7 linked regions of the Canis lupus familiaris genome follow. The protein of the gene in region 3 interacts with the protein of the main gene of each other region in a pairwise test. Links are inferred from orthologs where the notes say so. Each region holds a gene or a part of one and is shown on either strand. Other genes may lie near its edges.

Region 1 (4,000 bases), on a different chromosome or scaffold from region 3:
GGAAAAAGGAATGGTTAACTAAGGGGTGAGAAAGAGGGCTGACCAGAGACCAGTACATGTCATACACGTTTGTCTGGGACTGTCTCTGTGGCCTCTTGTAGTTCTGGTGCTTAATGTAGACATTTTCTTTAAAATGTACTATTGCCTGAGCCCGGCGGAAGGTGGGAATGGGGAAGGAGGGAAGCTGAAGGAAAAGTGAAAGCTTGGGTGGGGGTGGGGGGAGATGGAAGGAAGGGAAGGTAACTGAACCTTAACTTGACAGCTATGTACAACACACCGGGCCCCCTCCACTCCCTTTGCTCCAGGAATCAATGCCTCTTTTATATTTGGTAGCTTGTGCGGTTTCTCCTCCTTATTGTGTGTGTGTGTGGGGGGGGTGCAGGGTGGAGAGGGAAGACGCATCCTTCATTGACAATGAGAAATTATGTGATTTGTCATGCGCTTGGATTGTGTTATTAGTATTATAATAATTACTATAAATATTAATAATAAAGTATTATCAGCGTTATTTCTTCTTCCGAGACTTTCCTCGCCCAATATTTACAAATACCGCACAGTGCCTCGGCGGAGGAGAAACAGAGTAAGGGGAGGGCAGAGACGGAAAGAAGGAAAAAGAGAGGGAGGCCAGAGAAAAGTGGAAGAGGAAAGATGGAGGGGGAGAAAGCAAGGACGGCAAAGATGCTGGAGATGAGGAAGGGGAGGGAAGAGGGGGCTAAATGATCAGGACAGTACCACCGTTTGCAAAAGGCCCTCGCCAGCTGTGTCCAAACAGGAGGAGGCTGCTTGTGCTCCTTGCGGACTGGGGGCGGGTGGTGGAGCCGGAGGAGCACAGGGACCCTGGCACGGGAGGCCAGGGGACAGAGACGAAGAGGAGGCGTCGGAGGGGGTGCAGAAGGCAAAGTCCCGGGGCTGCCTCTCCAGCCGGGTTTCTTTGGCTTGGGCTGGGGCCTGGCCGCCCGCCGGGGGCAGCCCCCTGCCGCCGCGATTGCTGCTGCAGTGATCCCGCTCGTACTCCTCCTGAGCCCTCTGCATCTTCCGCTTCTTCATCCTGCGCTTGTGGATGTGGAAGGTGGAGAGGGACAGCACGATGAGGCAGAAGATGAGGGTGACCAGGACGATCAGCACCAGCGTGGAGGAGAAGGACTGGAAGAGCTGCTGTCCCACCTGCGTGATGCAGGTGCCGCCTCCGCTGGCGCCTGTACCCGGGCCGCGGGCACTGGCGTTGCCGCTGCCGCTGGCGTTGGGGGAAGCAAAGGTCCGGTTGAGGAGACACGGCGGCAGCGCCAGCCTCAGCTCCTTGGGCGCCCGGGCACTCATCGGCGCTGGGCTGGGAGGGGCCGGGCCCACCAGACTTCCTCTCTCAGGCACACGGTTCCCACCAGCCAAGAAGAGGACGGAGCCCACGCCACCCAGAACTACTCCCTGGTGCGGGAGGGGATGCGCGCGCGGGCGAAGGGCCGAGGGAGCAGCCGCGGGCGAGCAAGCCGGCGGGGAAGCGAGCGGCGCCCGGGAGATCCTCGCCGACCCCGCCTGGAACGCGTGTCCGCGCGCCCTCTTCCTTTCCCAAGGCACCAGGCTGCAGAGAGAACAGGCTCAGTTAGGATCCCGGCCGCTGCCCGGGGGGGCGCGGAGGGCCGAAGGCGCGGCCCCCGGGCACCCCGCGTCCGCCGGGCGCTGCCCGCCTGCTCCGCAGCCGCCGACCCCGCCCGCCCCCGGCCGCGCGCCCTCGCCCCCCGCTGGCAAGGGGTCTGCGCCCGCCCCGCCGAGAGCCAGATTACTCAGCAGATGAGGCAGCTCCCGGCGCCCCCACAACTTTCTAATCGCAACAGACACGCCGCCGCCCCGGAACGCGGTCCCTGCCGCCCGAGCCCCGCTCTCCCCCTTCCTTCGCCCTCCCGGTGGATGTCTCCCCCTGGATCCTACCTTCCCGGCACCCACCCCGGCCGCCGGGCGAGCGGGCTCCGGGTACGCAGTCCTGCCTGCTCCTCCCTCCCCCTCCAGACTCTTCTTCCCTGGCCGGCTTCAGAGCCCTCAAGTCCCATTCCCATGGGGGCACCACAGCAACCACATCCTACTCCGCCTCTGTCCGTGGCCGCGGCTGCCGCGCTGGATCGCGCTCCATCCTTTCTTCTGCCTCCTTCCCTGGTACCTCCCCCCACACACACCAGGAAAAAAAAAAAAAAAAAGGCAGCTGAAACACCTTTTTCTCAGCTAAAGCACGTCCCCGCAAACGCCCCCTTCTCTCCGTCTCCCTGTGCCCCGCACTCGGCAGTATCCTGCTTCTTTCTAGGGGGACGGGAAACGGAAGGCAGAGGGTTCTCGTTCGCAAAGTTTGGGGAACGGACCTCCCCTCCAGCCTTCCCAGCCCCAGCCGAGGCTCTGTGCGGGGACCCGAGCCGGGTAGACCCGCAGCGCGCAGCACAGCCCCTCGCCCGCCCTTCTCCAGAGGCAGCTGCAAACTGTTGCACTGCGGAGCAGAGGGGAGGCGCGCGAGCCGGGGCCGGGCCGGGTGGGGGCCGAGGCTGCCGCGGGGGGGCCTGCGCAGGCCGCCCCTCTCGCGCCCCGCCACCCGGCAGCTGGGACCTTTAGCGGCACCGCGTCCCTTACCTGGGCCACTAGCTGGCTGCAGGGAGGGAGCCCCCGCCGCGCGGCTGCAGTGGCGGCTGCAGAAGGCGCGGAGTGAAGGGGCCGGCGACCGAGCCCGGCTGCCGCTGCCGCTGCCGCCGCCGCTTCGGGGAGCTCAGCTCGCAGCCTATTGCCAGAGAGGCCGGTGACGTCAGGCAGCCACCGCTAGGGCTCCAAGCCACCCCTCGGGCCCCCACCCCACCCTCATACCCCAACATCTCGTCCTGGCAGAGTGAGCCTCTGCCACACGCATTCCTAGTTCCCTGTCCTTCCCCTGCCAGGGGCTACATGCGAGGAGCAACCCCCACCGTGGCACCGGGAGCAGCCCACCTCTGCACTCCTATGCCTCGGAAGGAGGAAGCCCTGCCCTCAACCCTTTTCCACATGGTCCCAGGAACACGTTTTTACACCCCAGAGAGCCATCTCCCCCCCCCCCCCCCCCCCCCGGGTACACATTTGATTCCTCTCTCTCTCTCTCTCTCTCTCTCCTCGGCTGATGAGGATTGTTCTCCTCTGCAAGCCTGTCTATGCTGGCCTGGTTCTGTACGGAAACTGCGTGAATATGAGAAATGAGAAGGGCATTTCTGAACGCGTGTGGCAGAGCATAAAATACAAACCTGAACACGTATTTAGTCACGAACAATGCAAATTAACCGTTTTCCTCTCCACCAGAGTCTTCAACTTACCTCTCACTCCACCTGACTCATGTTTCTCCTCTACTCACTCACACACTCATCTTCAGGCCCAAAACCCACTCCATATATTCAACATTCATTCTCTTTTAATGTGTGCTTTGTGTGCTCTCGTGAGCACACAAAGCACACACAAGGCTTATAAGACAGGAAGGCAAAAACAACTCAGAGGAGTACAGAAATAAACTGTCCTATGAAAATTTTGAGTGTACCCCTTACTTTGCCGTAGTGTTAACAATAGCCTTTCAGCGAAACAGATAGAACTTCCTGCAAGATTCTCATCAGCCTGCCTAAATCTAGGCAGAGATTAATCAACTCTTGCTTTAGGGCCTTTGGAAATACATGAACAGTACATCGGGTTACAGTAGGCAACTTTAAAATGAAGTATTCTCATTTTTATATAGGAGGAACCAGCTTGGAATAGCCCGTAAAGACACTGTATGATCTTAGGAAACATTCCATTGTCTTATAAAATGTGCCCTTCCTTCTTCTCTCACTGTCTCGTTTTCTTCCCATCTTTGAGTCTAACATATTTACTTGCAAAATTGAGTGGTGCAGTAAATATTGCTTTTTGCTGCTCTGCATCCAAACTGGGAGACAGCAGGGATGACCAACACCTCCCTATCTGCCTGCTAGTAGACGGTTTTATAAAAAAGAGGGTTTGACACAGGGAGCAAAAGTTT
Region 2 (4,259 bases), on a different chromosome or scaffold from region 3:
GTCAATACAAAAGCCTGGAGAGCCCAAGGTGGGAGGCTGGGGGTGCTGAGAGAGGAGCCATGTGGAGGTGGTGCCCACTCACCAGCGAAGCTGTAGCCTCCTGACCTTCTCAGGGCCACCCCGACACACACAGCATTCGAACTCGTAGAACCTGGAAGTGGGCGAGGGGGAGAGAGCGTGGAGGACTTATGAATAAGGATGGGGTGCGTAGGGGAGGTGAGCTTCAGAGGCTGGGGAGACATGGAGCTGAAGCAGCATGGGGGCCTGAGAGGGTAGAGCAGGGCAAGAGTATTCTCCCTTGGCTCCCAGAGAGCCAGCCCCATCTCACCTGTCCCCGTAGAGGAGCGGCTTGCTCAGACACTGGGTGCAGGCCTCATGGAACCACTGCAGGCAGCTCTGGCACTGCAACATTTTCAGGTTCCACCTGAGAGGGAACACAGGACTGGTGACCTCCAGACACTGCCCCGACCTGAATGGCCCCAAACCCTACTCACCACCTACTTCTGCTTTCTTCAGCACTCCCTTCATCCTATTTTTTCTCCTTCATTCCCCAGGATCCCCCCACCCACTCCATCATTCATTCCCTCCCCACCACTCCTCCACCCCTGTCCCTCATTTACTCACTCCCCAGGGCCACCACAGTAACAGTAGCTCTGCTGTCGGTTGCTCAGATGTCCAGCGTCCCAGTCTAGCCCCTTTAGTCCATATGGCAGTGACAGCTTCATGCCCAGCATGGCCCGGGCATAGGGGCCCTTCTTCAGTGCACCCCCCCTCTGCAGGGAGGAAACAGGCCACCTCAGACGGGTAGGGAACAGGAAGGCTTGGGAGAGGTGGTGGGGGAGGCTCCCACAGAATGGTGACCTTACCTTGGTGGCAATGGCAAAGACACACTGGCGACAGACCCAGGATGTGCCCTCTCCCTCTCCAGGGGCTGGGGCTCTTGGAACGTGGCAGTCCTGGTGATAAGCTGAATAATGATAATATTGATGGTAGACCATTTATTGCACAATATACCTGTGTGTGCTAGTGACTGGGATAGGAGGAGTCTGGGCCACCTCATTTCATCTTTGACTGTGATCTGGCTGCAGTAGATAAGTTACCCTTATTTTACAGGTGAGGAGACAGGCTCCTAGGGGCTTGGGAATTTGCCCAAGGTTTTATGGTTAGTAAAGGTGTATTTGAACCATCCTCTGTCTACAAAGCCCACACCTCCTGATTCCATGGCTATTTCTCCCTGTGCTGGAAGAGAGGTTACAGAGTTGAGCAGACTGGCCAGAGCAGTGGCTTGGGGACTCAGCCAGGACAGGTGGCCTAAGGATCAGTGGTGGAGGGAAGACTTAGAGGCAGCCTGGAAGGTTCAGGGCAAGCTAGACCATTTAGGTATCCTGCCCTCTCACCGTGGCGACACTTCTCACAGCTGACCAGCCGGTTTCCAGGGACCACAGTCTCAGAGCGACAGACACAGCAGAGGAGTTCCTCCCCGGGGAGGGCAGCTGTGAGGGAACAGTGTTGTGGGGCCTGTCCTTAAGCCCCCTTTACATCCCCCAAGCCAGGTTTCTGCTTTCCACAGCATGCATATATTTGGGCCTCTAAGGTCTCACCAGGGCTAATGTCTTTCCATAGAACCAGAAACTGGGAATCGTCCTCAAACTGGACCAGACACACCTCCCGGGAACTGTCCACCTGGAATGGATGAGCACAGGAGATGAAACAGGAATCGGAACTACATAAGGAGAATGGGGGGAAGGTAATAAGTCAGAAGTCAAAGGTCTTACTTTCTTGATGGTCCCCAAGTATAGCAGTCCATCCGTCCACCTGGCCAGCACATCTTGACCCTCCCAAAGTCGAGGCCTGGGGCCTGAGGTGGGAGCAGGGGAGGCTGGGTCCCAAAGTGGGGGGGCACCAGAGCGGCTCAGCCGGGGGGGCTGTGCCATTGCATCCTGGGGGGGGGGGCTATCCAGAAGTGGGATGGGAGAAGGTTATGAATGTTGAGAAACTGTCCCCATTTTTCTATGCCTCAAGGACTCAAGCAGCTGTGCTACCAGTCTCCAAATATGAAATACCTGGATAGGAAATCACACAGCACCCCTCCCAAGCTTCATGACTCCAGCTTTTCCAACTCTGGTGACTGGCTCTCCTCTCCCTAACACCCCCCACCCCCCAACCTAGTTCTCTAGTTTCCCAGCTTCCAGAGCTCCCCTGGGATACTGTATCCTGGCCTTGAGATTTTAGGAGGAATGATGGTTGCAGAAGCAAAGGTTACCATTCAGTTTCTACTGTCACCTTCTGTTTAGAGATACTGTAATTGGGGTGTTCTGCTACCCAGAGAATGTGTTTTGGGAGCTTTTCTGGAAATGTTTTCCAAATTAGAAACGGCTGCCTCCCCGGGCCCCTGTGTCTCCAGAACAATAATCCCGATGCCAGGTTATGGCAGGTCACCCTCAAATACGGGGCTCCCTGTCCCCCGGGTTAGATAACTTCCTTGAGTGCCCTGGGAGGGGGGCGTGTCCCAGTCCCGGTCTCTACTCCCCAGGACAGCGAGTCCGAGAGGGGACTTGAGTCAGCCCAGCGCGAGCTGATGCCTGGGCGGCGAGGCTCTCCCGCCCGCGCCCTGCGCGCCGACCCCCGGCTCCCTGCCCCCCCCCACGGGCGCCTCCCGCCGCCTCCTTACCAGTGACAGCTGGGGCCGCCGGGAGCCGGGCAGAGGCAGACGTGGGAGACCGAGGCGAACCCCCCGCGCGGGGAGGGCACGTCTGGGCGTCGGAGGGCGGGCAGGCAAGGGCCGGGGGGTCCCCAGGCCCAGCCCCTCCGTCCCGGCAGCTCTGGGGCGTATGACGCAGCAGCCAAAGCAGCGGCAGCGGCAGGAGGAGGCGGCGGGGGGAAGGAGGGGAGGGGAGGGGAGGGACAAACCGGCTCGGGGGGAGGGTAGTGGGAGGGGAGGACTGAGGGGAAGGAGGAGCCGGGGGGGGGGCGGGCACCACCTCACCCCACCTCCCTCACCTCCAACGGGCCTGGAGGGCGCCGAACGGGTGGCGGCCTCCCCACGGCTGGGGCGGGTGGAAAGTCAAGACCCAGTGCGAGAGGGAATCCCTGCAGCCCCTTCCTCGGAGGGAGATCCGCCCTCGGGGCAGCAGGGAATCCCCCCCTTCCCCGCAGCTGGTCTCCAGCCTGGCCCCCGCCCCATGCCACATCCGTTAACTGCCCCCCCAACCTCCATGGTCACTCCAAGTCCCGCCCCTCGGCCCCAGTTCACGACCCCGCCCCCCATTCACCCGTCCCGTCGCCCCCGCCACGCCCTCCTCCCTCGAGTGCCCCGCCTTCCTCCCGCCTTTGCCCCGGCCCCGCCCTCCCCGTGGTAAGTCTCCCCCCGCCACACCGCCGCCGCGCTTCTGCGCATGCGTGACCCCTCCCGCGCGCGGCACCTGGGTGGACCGAGCCCCTCCTTTGCCGGGCGGTGGCCGTTGGCGGTTGGCGCGAGCGAGTCAGCGGGCGTGCAGCCCACCCAGCGCCTGTAGGGCGGGTACACGGACCGGGAGAGCTAGTAGCGAGGCGGTAACGCCGCCGAGAGCCAGCCAATGGGCAGCGGGCGGGCCGGCCCCAGTTCTTCGAATGGGACGGCAAGGAAAGAGCGGGAGGGAGAGCCCGCAGTTTGCAGGAGGGCTCGCTGGCCCGGCCTCTGGACTCGGGCTTCCACTTTCCCGCACCCACCAGACGAGCTCTCCGCGTGGAGCTGGGTGGCCTGCGGCAAACCAGTGACGGCGGTCGGCCAGTGGGCACATCTCCTAGAGGCGGACAACCAGGGTAACCATCTAGTCTCCAGGAGATAGCCAGGTAGAGAAAAGCTGAAACCCTTGCTCTGCAAAACACAAATACTCGGCAGAGTAGACGATCCACAGTTCCCATTTTTACAGATACGGGCCATTGTTAACAAAACCTTTATTTAAAGAAAAAAAACTTGTTCTTTATTTGATAGACCCAGGTCACAGAGCGCCCCTCCCCCCAACAAAGCATCCTTCAGCGCCACCCCCACCCCCCCTTCCCAAACAGAGGATCTGGATCTGTCTTCATTTCCTGTTAGCCTGGGCCGTACCAATAACACACTGGTTCACCTGCGGGCAGAGGTTTTAGAATAAAAATATTTTGTGAGTAACCAAAATAACAGTTTTCTCCAAGATCACCCCCCACCCCCAATATTGGGGCTGCCCTCAGAAAATACTAAAACAAAGGCTCTGAAGGCAGATTCAGCCTGGTCTCAGTTA
Region 3 (4,107 bases):
CAGCTATGGGAGAACTTAAAAAGCAGGCGAAACATGTACTGTTTCTTGGACTCCAGGTAACATACCTGCAGGAACAAAGCCACTTGAAAGAATACCACAAATATCCTAACTACAAAATTCTGAAACCGTCCGTTCAGGTGTTCCCTCCCACGGATAAATGGGGTTTCTACCCCAAGGAACGCTCCGCCGCCGCAACGTTTTTAACTTTGTTACGGACGCACCACATAAAATTCACGCTCAGGAGTCAAAGTGCTATTAAAACAGCCAAGATGATCTCTTGGCGAGTTGTAAACTCTCAAACTCTTTTATTCGGCTTCCCCCACCCCACCCCAGCCGCATCGCCCCTAAAATTTACAAACCCTAATCACCCAGATTCGAGGTCTTTGACTCATCAGAGAAGAATGCAGCTGATGAGTTATCTATTAATCCAGAATGCCTCAGCTGGAAAGAGATCGCACCGAGAACTTTTAACACTGAAAAGGGAGGGGGAGGGGGCAGGGAACTGAAGGTGTCTCCCCGCCGAGAACTTTCCCCGAGTTCCTTCCTTCCTCACGCCGCACGCACAAACACCCCCCACTCCCAGCCCCGGTCGCAGACTCGGTCCCGACCCTCTGGGTCCCAGGAACCGGAGGTCACCCGGGAGTCAGCTCTCGATTCCGCTTTTAAAATCCCACGCAGACAAAGCTGAGCATTATACTTAGCAAACTCCGAAAAGTCCTCAAAGTTACGCAACTTTAGAAACGCGCTCTGCGAAGAGACCCCCCCCGCCGCCCCCCCCCCGGCCCGGGGCCACAGGTCGCGGCGAGGGCCGTGCCCAGACCCCGGACTGCGGCGCCCAGGTCGTGCCCCCGCCGCAGCGAGCCCCCCGGTACCTCTTCCTCCTGAAGGTTGGCCTCGCTCGGGGTGTTCTCCTTCTCGGCTTTGCCGCCGTTGTTCATCTTCCCGGTCCTTCCTCGCCGGGCAGGGCTGGGGCGCGGGGCTGGGGCGAGGGCGCGCTCGCCCGCTTGTCCCTTCCCCGGGCGCCGGGGCTCCCTCGGGCGGGCGCCGCGGGCTGCGGGGGCTGGAGCCGGGGCAGCGGCGGCTCGGGCTCCGCGGCGAGGCGAGGCGAGGCGACCCAGGAAGTGCGCGGGAGACACGGGGCAGGGCGAGGCGCGGGCCGGCGGGGACGGAGACAATCGGGACCGGGAGGGAGACCTGGAGAGCGCGGGCGGGCGGGCGGGCGCGAGGGAAGGAAGGAAGGAAGGAAGAAAGGATGGGGCGCGGGCGCGCGTCCCAGGAGGGAGCCCAGAGAGTTGGGGATGTGGCCGCGTCGGGGCTGGGGGCGGCCGCTGCCCGAGCCTGGCGGGGGCCGGAGGGAGGGGGCGAGGGGTGCCCAGACCCGAGGAAGAGGAGGAGGAGGAGGAGGAGGAGGAGGAGGAGGTGCGGGGCGCGGCTGGGACGCTGGGACCCGGAGAGCCGCTGAGTGCGCGCTCCAGGCAGGCTCTGAGAAGTACGGGATCCAAGCAGCTCCCTTTCTCTCGCCCTCCTCCCTCCCCTCTCTCCTCCCCCTCCCCCTCCTCCTCCTCCTCCCTCCGCCCTCCCTAGACGTGGGCTGCCAGCTTCAGCCCGGAGGGACGGGACGCGGGACGCAGAAGCCCCCCTCGGGAGGAGGGGCCGCCCGCGGCCGGATGGCGCGCGCCGGGGAGGGGCGGGGGGCGGCGGGCGGAAGCGGCCGACCCCAGCCCCCCGACTCGGCGGGAGGTCGGAGGGCAGGGGCCGAGGCGGACGAGGGAGGGAGGCCAGGTCCTCCCGCTTCCCCGGCCCCCGGGGGCCCCCGGAGCTGGCGAGCTCGCGCGGCGGTGCGCGCCCGCTTGGAGAGGGGCTTCGGGGCGCCGGGCCGGGCCCGCGCGACGCCCGGGACGCGCCGTGGGCTACCGCCGTGGGGATCGCGCCCCCGTCGCTCAGCCTGCCCTGCCTCTGCAGCACCGGCTCAGACCTATTTCCTCCCTTCCTACTTGGCAGCTCGAAATGACAGGATGCGAGAGAACGAGCGAGGTCCGGGGGCAGCCGGCTCGGGGCCGGCGTTTCCAGGGCGCAGCTTCAAACCCACCTCCCACGCCGGGCCCTCCCAGGCTCTCAGCCCCGGCCTTCGCCCTCTGCTAGGCTTCGCGCCCCCCTCTGCTCAGGCCCCTCTCTCGGCCCTCAGCAGACCGTCCTGGAATTGCTTACCTGCCTGCCTCCCTCACCCTTCCGGGGGAGCCTCCCCACAACGCAACGCCAGCCTCACCGTGTCCTTGTTTACCTTGATAATCCCACGGCTAGTTAAATACGCTACCGGGTATACAGTAGGCACTCAATAAATACTTGTTGGCTAAGTGACTGTTGCTCACGGCGAGCCGAGCTGGAGGCCAACCCAGATGATCTTCGGAGGGTCAAAGCCCCTTAAGGAAGAAAAAGGGCTCAGCATTCTGGGAGGGGGGCACCCAGTACCTGTTTAAGCACCACGCGCCAGAGGACTGCCTGGGTTCCGTTTCCTCACCTGCGAAATGGGAGTAGTTATAGTTACCTCCCAGGGGGGTTGTAATTAGAGGAGATTATAGGTTGGTAGAGCTAGAGCACCCAGCACTCATTCCTGCCCGGTGTAAGTTTACAGAACAGGGAAACTAGCATTATTATTAAGGAAATTTCCATTTTCCCGGGGCCATAGAGAGCTTCTCCATTCCTGTATCATAAACACATAAATTTAAAAGGGCCTCTATCAGAAGATTCTCCCTCACTTCCCACGCCCAGGAATTCTCTCACACGACATGCTGTTCCTTTCCAGCACAGTACCAATCACAACTTCTATTTATTTGCTCGCTTCACTGTTTATCTTTCTCTGCTCTCCCCCCTCCCCGCCAGACATTCTTCACCCTGTACTGGTTTAAGTGCTGCTGGGGGTGGGGTGGAGGTGGGGGTGAAGATAAGGCTCCTGCTTCTAGGGAGTTTTAACTGGTGTTGTGGAGACGAGACACCCAAAACAACTCCATGGCCACATGATCAGCGATCCTGGTTCAAATAGCAGAAAGCAGAGAAAATACTTGTGTGACGAGCGTTGTGAAGAAAAACAGAGTGGTAATTCTTGCATTCACTTACTGGGGTTTTCTTGGGTTGGGGGTGGGGGAAGTCTGAAGCTTTTGATAAATAGGTTTAATTGCTGTCAGGATGTCATGTGCCTCTGTGGGGGGGGTGGGGGGAAAGCGTATCCTGGATGAAAATAAACCAAGAAACTGTTGAACTTGCAATGGAAGTTCAGAAGAGGCAAAGGCCACCACGATTAATCTGGAAATTTGGAGAGCCTTTCCAATCCCAGTCCCTCCCTCAATTACGTAAAGAACCACGAGGGGGCAATGTGTTCCTGAGCAATGGCTGCGTGGTGGTCTTGGGCCCCTGCGCCACCAATAAACACAGGCCCTTTGCCCTCCTGGGCCATTGCCAGGTACTGAATACACTCCACAGAAAGATATTGTCTTGCTGGAGCCTGGCAAAGGCCCAAGAAAAGTGACAGTTGATCTAGTCATTGATGATTCCAGTCAGACTCCACTTACAAGTCGGTGGAAGGTGCTGTATGATTCCAGGATGCTGCTGCTACCTCCGTCCAGGGAAATGTGGCCTAATTCCAAATGTAGAACCTGATTCTTTTGCCAGCACTTTGTCCATTGTTAAAAGTCAAAGACATCTGGCATAAAAAAAAAAAAATAAGGGCTAGAAGAAGATCTTTGTCTGATTTGATCGTTGTGTCCCCAATATCTAGACAGTGCCTAACACATAGTAGGCTCTCGGTGAATATTTTTGAATAAATGAACACAGTCTTATCAGAGATTGATTTTCAGCCTTGAATGACATCACATCTTTACAAAGCCCCTGCAGGAGGGACTGAATAAGTGGAAGTGTCTCAGCATAGGGAGCCACCACAAGGACACTAGGCAGATTCATGGTAGTAGTCTTTAGGCATTATTTTGCAGGGGAGACCCACCTAGATAGAGAGCTTGCTCAGAATGAGACAACTGATGAGATTTCAAAAATAAATAAAATTGCAGGTATTTGGATGGCTCAGTGGTTGAGCATCTGTTTTTGGCTCAGGTCATG
Region 4 (4,068 bases), on a different chromosome or scaffold from region 3:
TACGCATGCTTGAACTTGGCTGCCTTGATCACTATCCCAGAACTTTCTAGGCCGGCACAGTCCAGTAACACTGTGATGATTAAAATGTTCTGTGCTGGCCAACAAGGCAGCTGTCAACTATACGTGAGCACTTGGAATGTAGCTAGTGAGATGGAGGAAATGAACTTTCAATTTTAATTCATTTCAATTAAATGGCCACATATGGCTAGTGACTGCCACATAAGACAGAGCACTTCCACAATGATCATGATTTCACCATTGAACAGGTGTCCTAAGAAGGGAGGTTAAGACCTACTTACCTTACAGGTTACAATAGTCCCCACATCTGGTAGCAATTGAGATTCTGTTTCTCTCATCACAGAAATCACAGGAAGCTATAGACAGAACAATAAAATGTGAGATCCTGACTAAGCCTTCCATAAAGGTATCTGGCTTAAGAATAATGTAGGAATGCTTTGGTCCACAGCTGAGATCACAAGCACAGATGGACTACAGACTCATATGTGCCCAGGGCAGACAGTCTTAGAAATTTAAGGCAAATAGGAAGGTCAAGGGGCCATTTTTCAAAAGAAAGATGCTACCAGAAGACATAATCTAATCATTTCAGAACAGTTCTAACAAGTTTTCTTTTTGTGGTTTTCTTGGAATTTCTTGGTATATAATCAATTGTGGATAACTTGACTCTTCTCTTCAAAGTTCTACTACTTCCTTCTGATTTTCACTCTATTGTACTGGCTAGAATTTCCAAATAAATGTTATATAATAATGGCCATACTTTATTTTTTTCTATTTTAAGGGAATACTTGTAGCTTTCCCTTTGAGCATGGTATTGGCTATTGGTATAAAATATGTATTTTTTAAAGATTTATTTCAGAGAGAGAGAGAAAGCATGCGCAAGTGGGGAGAGGGAGGGAGAGAATCTCAAGCAGATTCCCCACTGAGGGGGGGAGGGGGCACTGACACCGGACTTAATCCCAGGACCCTGAGATCATGACCGGAGCTGATATCCGGAATCGGACGCTCAACCAACTGAGCCACCCAGGCACCCCAAGACATATTTTGAACCTCATCTTTTACTTGCCTCTTCCTTGTTTCCTATGCTTCAGTTTTCGGACCTTCATTCAGTTTCACTAACGCACTAAACATGTTCCCATCTCAGGATTTGTGTTCAACCTGTTCTTTCTCCCAGGACTGTGCTCTCCACTCAACTCTTTTTTTTTTTTTTTTTTCCCCACTCAACTCTTCTTTATCCTTTAGATTCAGGTTAAACATCACTTCTGTTGACTACAATGGGTTTGTCCTTTACATGTTCTCATGGTAACCTGTAATATTCTTTCAAAAACAGTCATGACTTTTGTAGCCATAAACCAATTTGAACCTTTACTTGTTTGTAATTTATGTCTGTGTCCCTTGGTAGCAGGGATCATGTGTATTTGGCTCATTACCATATCTTTAGAGGTAAAGATTGTGCCTGGCACATGAAAATGCTCAATAGATATCTATTTCTATGAAACGAACAAACTTAGAACTGTTACAGTCTTAAAATTGATTAAAAAGTCTTTCATTTTACATCTGAGCAAAAACTAAAACCAGAGAGATCAAGTTTCTAACCTAAAGCAGAAACAAGGTCTAGTTAGCCAGTACCTAAATGTTCTAATTCTGAATTCTCTATTAATGCTCCCTGTCTTTAAGGGGGTCCTTCAAAGACTGTTTATCCGATCCTGGGCTAATCCTGGATCAGTGTTAAGCATTCAACAAACATTTATTGAGCATAGGCTGCTGTGCTCAGCACTAAAGGTATGGTGGCAAGGTTTGTTTTCGTGGAACTTAGAGTCTAATAAGGGAAGAGTCTAGGAGGAACAGGTAACCGAATGCTTAATTTTATGCAAAGAAGAGCACACAGAGGAAAGAAATTTAGTTCTTTGTGAGAGTTTAACAAAACGAAAAATAAAAGCTCACAAAACTCCTTTCCCTGACTAGTGGGTCTAGGAGGGCTACTCTGATAAAAGTGACACTAGAGAGGCCATCTGAAAAGTAGGTGGGAATTAAAGAGGCTAAGGAGGAGATGGGCGCGTGACAAACAGCGTGTTCATCGTTCTGTGGCAGAAGAGAGCTTACCCCACCAGCGACAAAGAAGCCTGTGTGACTAGACTGCAGAGTGGGGTGGGAATAGCGGAGCAAGATGAAACCAGAAAGGGAGGCGACATCCGGACAAGATTCAGCTCACTGCAGGCGGAACCCGCCTCTGCTCGTCCCCTAACTTCCTTCCCCGAATGTCAGCAACAGAATCAAGCGGGACCACATCTGGCCTGTGGTGGCGAGGTGCCCAGCAGTGGAGACCTCAGCTGGAAGAAACTCGGAGACCAGCTGTTCTGCTGAGGTCCTAAAGACGCGTCCGCAGTGCCCTTTCCTATCGACCGCGAAATCAAAAGCAGCCTAAAAGAAAAGCAGAGAAGGAGGAAATGGGAAGCAGCCCCCTTTACCGCGCCATTCTCGCTGCTCTTCGTCAGGCAGCCAGCAAGCGACGAAAAGATGTAGCCGTGGCGAGTATAAGTGCCGCTGCCCGGGCTGCCCTCCTCCAAGTTACACAGACGTTCGCCTGAAGAGAAACGCTGCATCAGTCATGGGTCTTCAGAGGGTGTCGGTCATGCAGCCTTCCTGCCTCCCTGTCCCATCCAGAATTCGCTTCGGTCCCCGCACACTTACCCGGGATGCAGTACCTCACGGGCGGCGCCATGACTGCCACTGGAGGGAAACGAAGTCGGCTTCTCATTGGCCAAAGTTCAGGAGCAGTTCTGCAGTAAGAAACGCGCCAATTGGTGCGAATTATCACGTGGTCTTCGGGAGCACCTCCTCCGTCAAACTTTATTTCCCAGGTTGCTCCGGGACCAGGGCGGGGGCGGGGCTCCGGGACGCCTGCGCTTGCGCCTGTGGTCCAGGATGGGCTGGCAGCGGGTCCCAGTCTGCAGGCTGGTTCTTCGGGTGGCCGGCGATGGTTGGTTGGACTGAGACCGGCCCGGCCGGGTTGCAGAGCTGGCGGGGGTGGCAGTGAGCGGCGGCGGAGGCTGCGGGGTTCCATTTGGCTGACTGGGGAGTCGGCAGGCGGCAGGTAAGAGCGGAGCCGCGGCCTTTGCTCCCCAGTCCTGCCCTTTTTTGTAGGGTCGGGGCCTGTTTGGGGCCTTTTCGTGAGCTCAGGTTCCTGTTCTCTCGTTGTCGCGCCCTGCACGGCCGTGCCCTGCACAAGCCTGGGGGAGTGCACTCTCGGGGCAGCTGTAACGCTTGGAGCTGGAAGGAGGTTAGCCAACCCAACTTGCCCATTGTAGAGATTTGGAAACTCAGATCCAGAGACAGGATTTGACTTGTCCAGTGGCTCAAAGACAGTTCAAGGTAGAGCCCAAACCGGAACCCAAGGTTTTTTTTTTTTTTTTTTTTTTTTTTTACTTCTTCTATCGCACTTTGACCACACCACCCCATTCAGAAATAAAGCCTTTTCCGGATTTTTGTGACTGCAGCTTCAGGTCTTGCAGTCGGATCCTCTCAAGCGGAGCTCAGGTCGTGTGGGCCCATTCATAACTTTTTCTTTTTCGAGCATGTTAGTCCGGAAGGGAAGTCTGCACGTGAGTAGAATGCTGCTCTTACCGATGAGTGACAGCTACTGCTTAAGATAGGCAGACATCCCGAGAACAGCATCTTTGTCCATATGAGATTTGCTACGACTTTCATCTTAGTTTCTCTTGCCCTCTGGTGACTTTGGCATATGTCCCCTCCTGTGCAAACCCTCCAGCCCTCACCAATCGTTTCCCCTAGGAAAACAGATGGTGACTTAGAGCCTTGGAAAGAGGGGAGTGCTGTGGCCTTCAATCCCATCTAATCTGGTGGCATATGTCACTATGGCCTGTGGTTGCTACTGAGGGATCAGTGCTAAAGGCTTGCGCTTGGGGTGATAGTGAAGCTCTGCTTTGCCCTGATTCTCCATTCCCCACCCCAACACACATACACACAATTTTTTTTTTTTTTTGAGTTCTGTTTTAACTCAATTTCCTGAGAAATCAGGGACTCTATGTTCAA
Region 5 (1,915 bases), on a different chromosome or scaffold from region 3:
TTCTCAAGCTTGTATAATGTGGTGAACTAGAAATTGTTGCATCATACTCTATAACCAATAGCCACAGACCTTGCAGCTTCATAAGCTAATTTTTTATATCTGTTGCAAAAGAAGATGTTAAAATAATAAAAATCAAGACATCAAAACATCAAACAAAACCAGGCTATTTAGATTTCGAGTAATCATTTTATTGGACAAAAGCAAAAATACAAATTTTCTTCAAGGTCTTCTAGAAAGATAACATTATGATAATGGTGGCAAGAGAAGTAAACCAAAATGAGGACACAAACTGGGACAGTTTCACGTATTGAATATTCATTTAAGATGATGGGTTCTGGAGGTAAAAAGCACCAAATATTTGTAGAAGCAGTTTAACCATTGATAAATAGCTATTGATTCGTCCTGGAGAATATAGGATAGATGTTTTGGGAATCGAACTACAAAAATAGGACCAAATAAATGTGGAGGCTTTCTCTTTGCATTCAATTTCAACAGTATGTTTAGTAGAAGGTAGAGAATCCATATCCTCCATAGCACAGTGGGCGGTCGCAGCCATATCTGTAGCCTCCCCAGCCCCAGCCCAGTCTCGGGAAGCTGCCACATCCCCAGCCACTGCCACAGCCCAGGCCACCGAAGCCTCCACAGCCATAGCCCAGGCCTCCATAGTAGTTGCCGTAGTAGCTCATGGTGTCAAGGGTGGTGAGTTGGCGGTTGAATGCAAGAGTCAGAGTGTGAATGTCGACATCTTTACAAGGAGGCATATATACTCTGATCAGAGAATGTGACAAAACATGTGCCCCTCCTTTGGTGTCATTCCATGAATTATATTTGCCTGACCCAACGTATTAATCTGTGGTCCCCCGACCACACTTACAAGAATGCCTAAACCTGCTTGGCTACATAGTTAGGTTGTAGAGCAGAGCTTGCTGCTATAATCTTCTTAGAATGATTTGATGTTTCTTCAAAGTATTGACATACCAAACCCTGAATAGAGTACTCGAATGCCAGTCACTTGACATCAGTTACATTAAATATTGTTGAATTTCTAATTAAATATCTTCTCATCACTGGCATTTGAGGGTTGTTGTAATTAGTTCTACAAAATAGCAAAAAATAATTAAAATCAAGTCCCTTAAGCTTACCAATTTCTTCACAAGGCACGCATGTATTTTGTATCATGAGAAGCAAATGATGCACCTCTCTTTAGAATATAAAAGAATATTTTAAGTCAAGACAGATTTAGTTCACCTGCCACGTGTACCAGGAAACAACAACCACAAAAGCTCACCTGATTTCTAGAGTTTTAAAATTTGGGGCATGTACAATTAATAGATTTAATTTTGGCTTTAAATACAACATACTTATTTTGGTTCAAATACATAGCAGGGGCACCTGGGTGGATCAGTGGTGAAGCATCTGCCTTTGACTCAGTTCGTGATCCCAAGGTCCCAGGATCAAGTCCCACATCAGGTTCCCCTAGGGAGCCTGCTTCTCCCTCTGCCTATGTCTCTGCCTCTCTCCCTGTGTCTCTCATGAATAAATAAAATCTTTAATAAATAAATACATACATTGCAGAATTGTAATCACTAGTGGAAAGACTATCACTCTGATCAAAAATCCATCTTGTGAGAAGTCTTCCCACAGTACTTTTTTAAAATATATATCCTGAGTGCTTTCTCTATAATACATTCTAGTCTCACTGCTACCACAAATGCAGATTACATTTGGCTTCCTACATCATTTCCCCCTCTTTCTCTGCCTTCATCATTTATCCATTTATCTTAGATCTTTTTCAAATCTCATTCAAAACACCACCCAACTTTCTTCCTCCATGAATCATTACTCCAACCAGGTATAAGTATGAGGTGGGGAAATGGTTTTGGCTCTAATTACATATTCAAAAGAACACAGCATC
Region 6 (4,045 bases), on a different chromosome or scaffold from region 3:
GAGGGAGAAGCAAGCTCCTCACAGGGATCTCGATGTGGGACTCGATCCTTAAACTGGGATCATGCCCTGAGCCAAAGGCAGATGCTCAACCACTGAGCCACCCAGGCGTCCCCAAATGGTAGTTTCTTAAAGAAGAGTTGCATCTTGGAATCTGAATCCCTATCAATGAACTTTTCATATTTTATTACATTAAAATCCACTAGTGTACCTTGCATTCTGAAAGGATATTTACTTATGATGATTGTGAAATATCAGCATTGGTTGCTTGGAAAATATAGATTTACTGCGATGCCCATCCTCCAAATGTTGACATATTTCACTACAAATATAAATATAGAAAATATTTAAACTGTTAAACCTGAGATGTCAACTTTTGACAAATTCTAATTTTCACTCTCAAATTTTTATCATTGGTAACAAATACTGTCAATTGTTTCCTCAAAATAACATGCTCGCCTCGTTGTCAAGAAAATATAAGCGCAACCTTAAAGTGTGAAAAACTGTAGTTTGTCAGTTCTTTCAAGTGAAAATGCTGTTCCATGAAACAAGCAGCTCATAACTCAATCTCACAAGCGCTTTTCCTTATGAGAAGGACCGTACCTCCTTAGTCAGCAAAGTACTTTATGCATCCTTCCTATTCGATCAAAGATTCTTAAAACTTAAAAAAACCATGTACCCAAGGGTTGAGATTTAACAAAAATCATTTCTACTGTTTCATCAAGGCCATTTTCACACGGTGTTTCGTGTAACTGCCTTGCTTTGTGCTAACGGACCACCAGTTTTACTCAGCTTTGCTTTTTGGACCATCAGTGCAAATGTCACTGGAAGAAAGATAAATAGTGTCTTAGTATTTTCTACTTTGAAAATAGTTATGACCTCTCAGGTCCCCTGGAAGGCTCTGAATGATCCCCAGAGGTCAGTGGGTCACCTTTTCCAAGATTATATCACTGGTTCAAGGTTGGGGTGGAAACGAACAAAATCCTGTTCATCCCAAGAGTCTTCATCTTCTTAGTTCCTTTAGTTTGAGATACATCACCAACGTGACCGGTGTGTCATAACCGTAGTATAAGGGGAAGGAAATCAAGGACGTAATTTGCCATGAAATTGTTTTAAGATTGTATTTTGAGCACTTTTACGCTAAATCAACAGTTCTTTATGTGGCGGTTAAAATTTAGAGAAGATAGCACCACACACACCCTCCCCTTCCCACCTGAAAAGACTTGAGGACGAAGCCCCTAACACAGCACTTTCAGCAACCTCCAAGGTACTTTTTAGCTATCCCGAACTTAAAGATCTAGAGAACGAGTTCGAATTCAGAGTCCAACTCCCGGTCCCAAGAACAACACATCATGGTCTGGAAATTCAATGTTGTTCACCAAGGAGCAGCCCTCTCTGCCCCGCTCTTTCCCCTCCAACTAGATGGGGAAACTCCTTTGAAAGTAAAACTCCATTTCTGCAGGGTTTTGAACTGCAGTGGGAGGTGTCTAGAATGTAGAAGGCTGAGCTACAACCCGCAACAAGGTGGTGGTTCTGAGATGGTAAAATTGTCTTCCCGTGTGCATCTCAGAGAGGAGATGGGGCCAACTGACTTCCAAGCCTCTTCCCATCTCTTTTTCTGGGCTAAAGAAGGCCCAAGACAAGTGAGCTGAGCTATGTCCACAGTTAGGAACAGCGTGGAGGAATCCCGCGTCTGGCGGGAGAGGAAAACAGGGTCAGTGGCAGAAAGGAGGGGAGGCAGGTGGATCAACGACATCAGTCCTCCCCAGGAGGTGCTGAGAATCTAGACAAAATAGTCCCCGGGAGGAACATGGCGCCCACCGCGGCAGGATATAATCAGCCGAAAGAAAGGTTTTCCGCCCCATTCCATTTTACAAATCACGGCGCCAACGCAGAGAAATTTTAGGGCCAAGGGAGGAGACTTGGTAAACTAACTGCAGCGCACTACGGCTTGGGAGGTACTAGTGGACCGAGCGGCGATTACGTAACACAAGGGAGCGGCACAGCGACCCCTCATTTTCCTCCTCGCGCCCGAACAGCGCCCCAGTCCTAGGGAGGCGGGAGGGCGCGGCGGGAGAAGCGAGCGCTCCCCCCGGGACGTCACCTCGGCGCGGCCTCGCCCCCCGCCCGCCGACTCGCAGCCGCCCGCCCCCTCCCCCTCCCCCTCCCCCTCCCCGCGGGCCACCGCCCGCCGCCCGCCCACTCCTCCGAGACGCCTCGCGCCCGGCGTGCGTGTGGACGTCGGTGTGTGCGGGGCCGTGGGGCGCGAGTGCGCGCGCGCGCGCCGCGGAGGACGCCGGGGGGCGGGGGCGGGCGGCAGGCAGGCAGGCAGGCAGGCAGGGTCCGCCCGGCCCAGACCGTCGCGCGGCTCCCGAGCTCCCGCGGCTCCGGGGGCGCACGCGCTCGCGAGCCGCGCCCCATGCCCGCCGCCGCCGCCCGGGCCGCGCTGCACTCGCGGGGAGCAGGGGCGCGCGCCACCGGGCCCCTGCCCCCACCCCCCGCGCCCCCGCCCCATCCCCCTCTCATTGTCTCGCCTCCGAGCGCCTCGCCGAGCGAAAAGATAACGGAACCCCCGGGAGAAGGGGGTGGGGAGAAAGAAGGCTCGCCCGCTCGCTTACTCACCTCCCGTGGTCGTCGCCGCCGGTAGTCTGACCCGAGGAAGGCGCCGTCGCCTTAAAGGGACCTCGCACCCGGCGCCGGGAGAAGGGGGTGGGAGCAGGGGAGGGGACGGGGGCTTGGGGAGACGGCTGAGAGGGAACCGTGGAGAGCGCGTCTCCCCGCGGGGGAAAGGAAACCTCCCTCGGGTTCCAGTGACTTGGGGTGGATTTTTTTCCCGAGGGGGGCGGGGGGGCCCCGAGGGAGGGGGTGGGGGGGCCAAGGAATGCGGCTCCGTGTACGGGAGCTGGCGCGGGGGAGAGAGACGCCGACTCCCCCCACCGACCCTCTCGCTCCGCGGAGGGATACGTCTCGTCACTTCCGCCCTCCCCCTCTCGTGGCCTCGCAATTGGCTGCGGCGTGGGACACGTCATGGGCTCATCCTAACCCCTGCCCGGGCTTCTTTTCCAGTCAAGTTTGTCTGGACCTGCAAATAAATAAATAAATAAATAAATAAATAAATAAAAAACATTTAAGAAAAATGAAATAAGAATAATTAGCTTCAGAAGCAACAGCTAAATCTTGATGAGGAAAATGGAATTTCCAAGGAAAATAGTGCCCAATTCACTTGCCTGGACTTTCCAAAGAAATTTTGGGCACCTCCTCACTTTCCACTCAAGTCTTGTACCTAACCAAGAGGAGAACCTCATGCCACAGGCCAGGTGGTGAGACCCAATGGCACCAACAACTGTCCTTGGAACAAAGGCAGCAGAATGGCACATACTCTTCATCAGGAGGCATTTGGCCAAGTAGCCTTGTGGCAGTAGTCTTAAGTGAAGAACTTTTAAAAGCTATTTTTACTCTGAACCCTACTGGATTCTGGAAATAAATCACATATATTGCTTATCAAAGTGACTCATGTATGGAAACTGCTTTGAAGCCGTTTGTCAATAGACTCGGCACAAATCCTCAATTCTAAGAAACCATAGATTCTACATCTGTGCTTTTTGCTCCGATCAAGGCTGAGGGGGATTGGCTCAAAGAAAGGAGTCTATTCAAGACCAGCCACCTGTAATTTTTCCCCGAACAAGAAGTACCTCTTTTCCAGGTATCTAAGAAATTTAGTCCTTTTTTTACTTTCAGAGATGATAATATTGTAAAATTTTCCTTGGATATGTGAGTATGTTGTTGCTCTCTAAGCAATACACAAATATTTACTCCAAGCCAATGTAGATCAAAGTACTTTGTGCAAGATTGGGGAGAATCAGAACCATATTTATTCATTTTTTTATATATGTGCACTTTATTCAACCACCAGACTGAAAATAGGCGATGGAATTAGGCATTACAAATTGCTCCCTCATGCACCTGTGTGTACACAATGCCGTCCATTTTCATTCCACTTCATCTCATTTCATACTAAGTACATGTGAATGATCTCAAAGTGTCATTT
Region 7 (4,289 bases), on a different chromosome or scaffold from region 3:
GCGACTCCGGGCGGGACACGGAATAGATAGAGGAGCCGGCGAGCCATTGTGCGCAGCCCGGGCGGCGGGGAGGGGGGGGAGGGGGAGGAGGGGAGGAGGGGAGGGAGGGAGGGAGGGAGGGCCGCGGGGGCGGGGCGGGGCGGGGCGCCGCGGCGGGCGGGCGGGCGGGCGGGCGCGCGGGGGAGGGATTCCCCGCCCCCGCCCCCGCCCCCGCCCCCGCCCCCGCCCCTCCGCGCGCCGCCCGCCGCCCCGCCCCCTCCTCCCCAATTAAATGACCCCACGCTTTGGCAGGCGCCGGAGCTCGCACATGCGGCCGCCGCTCCAGCCGCCCGGGGCCCGCCGCCGCCGCCGCCGCCGCCGCCGCCGCCGCCGCTGCGTTCCGGGCGCGCTCGGCGCGGCGCCGCCGGGGGCTCGGCAGGCCGGGGGGGCGCCCCTGCGAGCGGCCGTGCGCCCCCGCCCGCGCCCGCTGCCCGCCGCCAAACTTCGCGGCGCGCTCATGCCCCAAGTTGGGCGCGGCGGCGGCGGCGGGCGCTGAGGGCGGCGCGGGGCGCGGGGCGCGGGGCGCGGGGCGCGGGGGGCGGACGCGGCGCGGCCATGAGCGGGCGGCCGGCGCCGCTCTCCCGCAAGCAGCGGCTCATGGCAGCCGTGGGCGAGCGGGCGGCGGCGGGCGGCGGGGCCGGCGGGGGCGGGGGCGGGGGCGGGGGCGGCGGGGCCGGCGGGGCCGGCGGGGGCGCGCCGCTCTCCTGCTTCATCTGCGGCGGCGGCATCGGGCGCGGCAAGGAGCTGAAGCTGCAGGTGAAGCAGCCGGCGGCGGGCGCGGGGGCCGCGGCGCAGCCCTTCTTCCCGTTCCTGCAGCAGCAGGAGCCGGCGCCCGGCGCGCGCGAGCTGTGCCCGGCCGACGGCTGCGTGCTGGTGTGCGCCGTGTGCCGCTGCTTCCTGGGCGAGCAGTGGGCCGCGTTCGAGCGCGCCCGCACGCCGGTGGACAAGCGCATGTACTGGCTCAAGCGGCCGCACCAGTGCGAGGCGGGCGCGGGCGCGGGCGCGGGCGCGGGCGGGCGGCGCGGGGCGGCCGGGGGCCCCCGCGAGTGGAACGTCGCCTACGCGCTGGGCGGCGCGGCCGACGAGGCGCGGGACTCGGAGCTGTCGGAGCTGTCGGACGCCGACCCCCTCTCCGAGGGCGAGCCCGCCGCGCGCGACGCCGCCAGCCCCCGCCGGGACGGGGCGCCGGCGGCCGGGGGTCCCCCGGGGCCCGGCGCTCGCGGGGGCCGCGGCCAGGAGTGGAGGCCGGCGCCGGGGCCGCCCCCGGGACCCCCCGCGGGGCCGGGCGGCGCGCGGGAGGACGGGGCGCCCCCCTCGAAGCAGCGCGGGGACGCGGAGCCGCGGAGCGGGCCCCGGCGGCGGCGGAAGGCGGCCGGGCGGCACTGGGGCCCCGAGGCCCGCGCCAGCGTCCTCAGGGGCATCACGGACCCGTGGCGAGGCGCCCCCGGCCAGGGGGCCCCCGCCGACGGCGCCAAGGGAGGCCCTCCCGGCAGGGCCCCCAAGGGCCCCGAGAGCAGGCCGGCTGCGGACGCCCGCGGGAGCTACTGCATGTCGGAGGACAGCGACATCAACATCACCAGCGAGGAGGAGGACCGCAAGGAGCAGCCTCTCTCGGGCCCCAGAGACAAGGAGAGCGGCGGCTGCGTCCCCTGGGGCTCGCTGGCGAGCCGGGCGGCGCCACCGGAGGGCCTTTGCTGCTACATCTGCGGGTCGGCCCTGGCCCCGGCCTCGCAGCACCAGATCCACGTGCAGAAGCAGGAGAAGCTGGCCCAGGCCCCCTTCTTCCCCTTCCTGTGGCTGCACAGCCCCCCTCCGGGGGCCCAGCCCATCAGCGACGGAGGCAGCACCCTGGTGTGCCCGTGCTGCTTCTCCTCCCTCATGCAGCAGTGGCAGAGCTTCGAGCTGGCCAACGTGCCCGTCCTGCAGCGACTGTACGTCGTGCCTCTGAACAGCCACGCCCCCGGCATGGCCTCCAAGGGCCGGAGGCTCCCAAGGGAAGACGGCCCGCCTGCGGGGGCCCTGCCCGAGGCCTGCTACCTCTGCGGGGAGGACTGTACCCAGGACGCCCGGGCCGTGGCCTTCAGGATTCTCAACGGCAGCGCCCGGGGCTCCATGCATTTCCCCTTCCTCAGCCTCCTGCCCTGTCCCCCCAACGCCCGGGGCCCCAACAAGCGTTGCGAGGTCCGAAGCTGCCCCAAGTGCTTCAGCGTCCTGGAGGACGTCTGGGCCCTGTACCGGGCCTGCCAGAACGAGGAGCTTATCACCTCCGTGCAAGGCTTCCTGGGCAGGTACCACCAGGCCTTCTCCGCCTCGGAGCCCGCTCTCTGCGAGCCGCCTGCACCGGCCCGGGGCAGCCCGGCATCTGTCTGCTACATCTGTGGGGCCGAGCTGGGCCCTGGGAAGGAGTTCCAGCTCAACGTGAACCCCTCCAGCCGCCTGGGCGAGAAGGAGCCCTTCTTCCCGTTCCTCACCGTTTACCCGCCCGCCCCCCGTGCCAGGCCCGCCGACTCCACCGGCCTCGTGGCCACCTGTGTGCTCTGCTACCACGACCTGCTGGGCCAGTGGCTGCAGCACGAGGCCCGCAGCGCCCACCACACCGTCAGCGCCTGGTCTCGCCAGTACCAAGTGGAGACGTTCGTGTGCTTCTTTTGCCAGCAGGAGAAGAAGCGCTGTCTCGGACTCAAGGCCCTGCGGCTGGCGCGGCTGCCCTTGTTTCTCTATACCCTGCGAGCAAGCCACAGCCTGCTGGTGGACGATGGGCGGCAGCTGATCATCGGCGCCTGTGTGGAGTGTGGGACCCTGGTGTGTGCTGGCCCGGGGCTCGCCCGCCAGGGGTCCGTGGGTTGGAGCTCCCCAGTGGCAGCGGCGATGAAGGTAAGTCCTGGTTTTCTCTTCAGCCTCCGGTGATTTGAGTAGGAGAGGAAGACATGTTACTTTCTGTTCCTCTGCTGGGGAAGTGTTTGTACTGATTCCGTGTGATCTGTTCCAGAAGGAGCTTCCCTCCTGGGGTCACCGGGCCGGCGGCGCCTGGGGAGGGCGCTCGAGGTGGGGGTGCTGACTGAGCTGGGAGTCATGTGGAGCTGGGGGCACCTGGAGCGGGCTTGTGGAAGAGCAGGGCACTGCTGAACGCATCAGGCCTGGGCCTGAACTTGAGTGTGTGTGCAGCGGAGTCCGTCAAACAGAGGAAGTTCGGGGCACGTCTGTCATCCGCCTGATAACATTGGTAATTAGTCCGGCCATGCAGGTCACTGGGAGGTCTGTGCACTTACCCGGTTGGAAATGCAGCGGAGGTGGCAGTTCCTCTCCGTGCTGGCGCTGGCACCGCTTCGCTCCTGCAGTTTTCCCCCAAGTTCACACTTTTCCTCTGAGGCTCTCCGGTTGCTTCACAGCAGATGGAAACAGATTTTCAGACGTGGGGGTTTGGGACCCGGGGGACAGTGGCCTAAACAGACTTTCCCCCTGATGGGAAGAGAGGCTTTCTTCTCTGCAACTCAGCTGTGCAGGAGGGGGGGCGGCAGAGAGGCGGGGGGGTGTGTGTGGTGGCTGGCGTGTGCCCTGTTTATAAGGCGCCTGCCTTCACGCTGCCTGCCCGGGAGGAGCCAGACGGGCCTCAGTTAATTTTGGATTAGGCTTTGCAAGGGCCAGGACAGGACCTGCCTGCAGTGGGTCTGGGGAAATAGGTGTTTGTGAGTCGGGATCACCATGTACGGTGATGGCTACGGCGGGGGGGGAGGGGGGGGGGGGGTGTCGGGGAGGGGGCGGTGTCGTGAATCCTCATCGCCTGGAGGCCTGGTTTATTATAATCAGATGCCTGTAGTGGGAGCCACCAGCGAGGGGCCCCGCAGAGGGCCCCGTGGATGGGGAAGAGCGGCTCGGGCTTGTTCAGGAATGATTGTTGCATCTATTTGGAAGGATGGAATCCCCGTGTGTGGAATTCCTGGCTTATGCGTTCACTCTCAGGGGAGGTTGCATCTGTAAAGTGGGCGCACTGTCCCGCTTCCCTCCAGTGCTTGCCCTATGCTCTGCTCTGCCCAGGCTTTCTTCATGCTCTGCCCAGGCTTTCTTAATCTGCCAGTGTCCCTTTTGGACCATAGAGATGTAACTGGGGGCTTTGGTAGTGGTCCTCTTCTTCTAAATGGATGCATGTCTCATTCCCCCCCTGTGGGTACTGGACTTCTCATTTGCAGCCTGTGGTAGTCCAGTCTGTGGGGTCTGCTGCTGGGAGTCTGAAGAAGTGCTGTTTCCAGAAG

What was found.
Region 1: the proteins of RBPMS (region 3) and C5H11orf87 interact in binary tests that used the Homo sapiens proteins (3 or more experiments, as listed by UniProt). The two-hybrid records come from large-scale screens. The link is inferred for Canis lupus familiaris from reciprocal best matches to the Homo sapiens genes RBPMS and C11orf87.
Region 2: the proteins of RBPMS (region 3) and PHF1 interact in binary tests that used the Homo sapiens proteins (3 or more experiments, as listed by UniProt). The two-hybrid records come from large-scale screens. The link is inferred for Canis lupus familiaris from reciprocal best matches to the Homo sapiens genes RBPMS and PHF1.
Region 4: the proteins of RBPMS (region 3) and EXOSC1 interact in a two-hybrid assay, tested with the Homo sapiens proteins (2 studies listed by BioGRID). The link is inferred for Canis lupus familiaris from reciprocal best matches to the Homo sapiens genes RBPMS and EXOSC1.
Region 5: the proteins of RBPMS (region 3) and keratin-associated protein 19-7-like interact in binary tests that used the Homo sapiens proteins (3 or more experiments, as listed by UniProt). The two-hybrid records come from large-scale screens. The link is inferred for Canis lupus familiaris from reciprocal best matches to the Homo sapiens genes RBPMS and KRTAP19-7.
Region 6: the proteins of RBPMS (region 3) and POGZ interact in binary tests that used the Homo sapiens proteins (3 or more experiments, as listed by UniProt). The two-hybrid records come from large-scale screens. The link is inferred for Canis lupus familiaris from reciprocal best matches to the Homo sapiens genes RBPMS and POGZ.
Region 7: the proteins of RBPMS (region 3) and GSE1 interact in binary tests that used the Homo sapiens proteins (3 or more experiments, as listed by UniProt). The link is inferred for Canis lupus familiaris from reciprocal best matches to the Homo sapiens genes RBPMS and GSE1.

What each region holds. Positions count from the first base shown.
Region 1 is NC_049226.1:23,323,554-23,327,553, forward strand, and holds the start of C5H11orf87 (uncharacterized protein C11orf87 homolog), read right to left. Parts: upstream 2,801-4,000; 5' UTR 2,608-2,800; intron 2,150-2,607; exon of another isoform or gene 2,143-2,149; 5' UTR 2,049-2,142; coding exon 1,924-2,048; intron 1,577-1,923; coding exon 721-1,576; 3' UTR 1-720.
Region 2 is NC_049233.1:2,998,893-3,003,151, reverse strand, and holds the start of PHF1 (PHD finger protein 1), read right to left. Parts: upstream 2,801-4,259; 5' UTR 2,672-2,800; intron 1,954-2,671; 5' UTR 1,935-1,953; coding exon 1,776-1,934; intron 1,684-1,775; coding exon 1,602-1,683; intron 1,494-1,601; coding exon 1,398-1,493; intron 968-1,397; coding exon 867-967; intron 774-866; coding exon 625-773; intron 425-624; coding exon 329-424; intron 152-328; coding exon 83-151; intron 1-82. Other genes in the region: kinesin-like protein KIFC1, read right to left, coding at 4,065-4,109. UniProt on the Homo sapiens protein: Polycomb group (PcG) that specifically binds histone H3 trimethylated at 'Lys-36' (H3K36me3) and recruits the PRC2 complex. Involved in DNA damage response and is recruited at double-strand breaks (DSBs).
Region 3 is NC_049237.1:34,777,312-34,781,418, forward strand, and holds the start of RBPMS (RNA-binding protein with multiple splicing), read right to left. Parts: upstream 2,801-4,107; 5' UTR 2,519-2,800; intron 2,421-2,518; 5' UTR 2,282-2,420; intron 1,195-2,281; 5' UTR 939-1,194; coding exon 873-938; intron 408-872; exon of another isoform or gene 393-407; coding exon of another isoform or gene 369-392; intron 1-368.
Region 4 is NC_049249.1:10,920,242-10,924,309, forward strand, and holds the start of EXOSC1 (exosome complex component CSL4), read right to left. Parts: upstream 2,801-4,068; 5' UTR 2,774-2,800; coding exon 2,707-2,773; intron 2,600-2,706; coding exon 2,484-2,599; intron 2,437-2,483; exon of another isoform or gene 2,119-2,436; intron 375-2,118; coding exon 300-374; intron 1-299. UniProt on the Homo sapiens protein: Non-catalytic component of the RNA exosome complex which has 3'->5' exoribonuclease activity and participates in a multitude of cellular RNA processing and degradation events.
Region 5 is NC_049252.1:25,888,098-25,890,012, forward strand, and holds keratin-associated protein 19-7-like, read right to left. Parts: upstream 687-1,915; coding exon 501-686; downstream 1-500. UniProt on the Homo sapiens protein: In the hair cortex, hair keratin intermediate filaments are embedded in an interfilamentous matrix, consisting of hair keratin-associated proteins (KRTAP), which are essential for the formation of a rigid and resistant hair shaft through their extensive disulfide bond cross-linking with abundant cysteine residues of hair keratins.
Region 6 is NC_049238.1:61,167,856-61,171,900, forward strand, and holds the start of POGZ (pogo transposable element with ZNF domain), read right to left. Parts: upstream 2,801-4,045; 5' UTR 2,620-2,800; intron 320-2,619; 5' UTR 209-319; intron 1-208. UniProt on the Homo sapiens protein: Plays a role in mitotic cell cycle progression and is involved in kinetochore assembly and mitotic sister chromatid cohesion.
Region 7 is NC_049226.1:67,907,270-67,911,558, reverse strand, and holds the start of GSE1 (genetic suppressor element 1), read left to right. Parts: upstream 1-1,489; 5' UTR 1,490-1,587; coding exon 1,588-2,913; intron 2,914-4,289.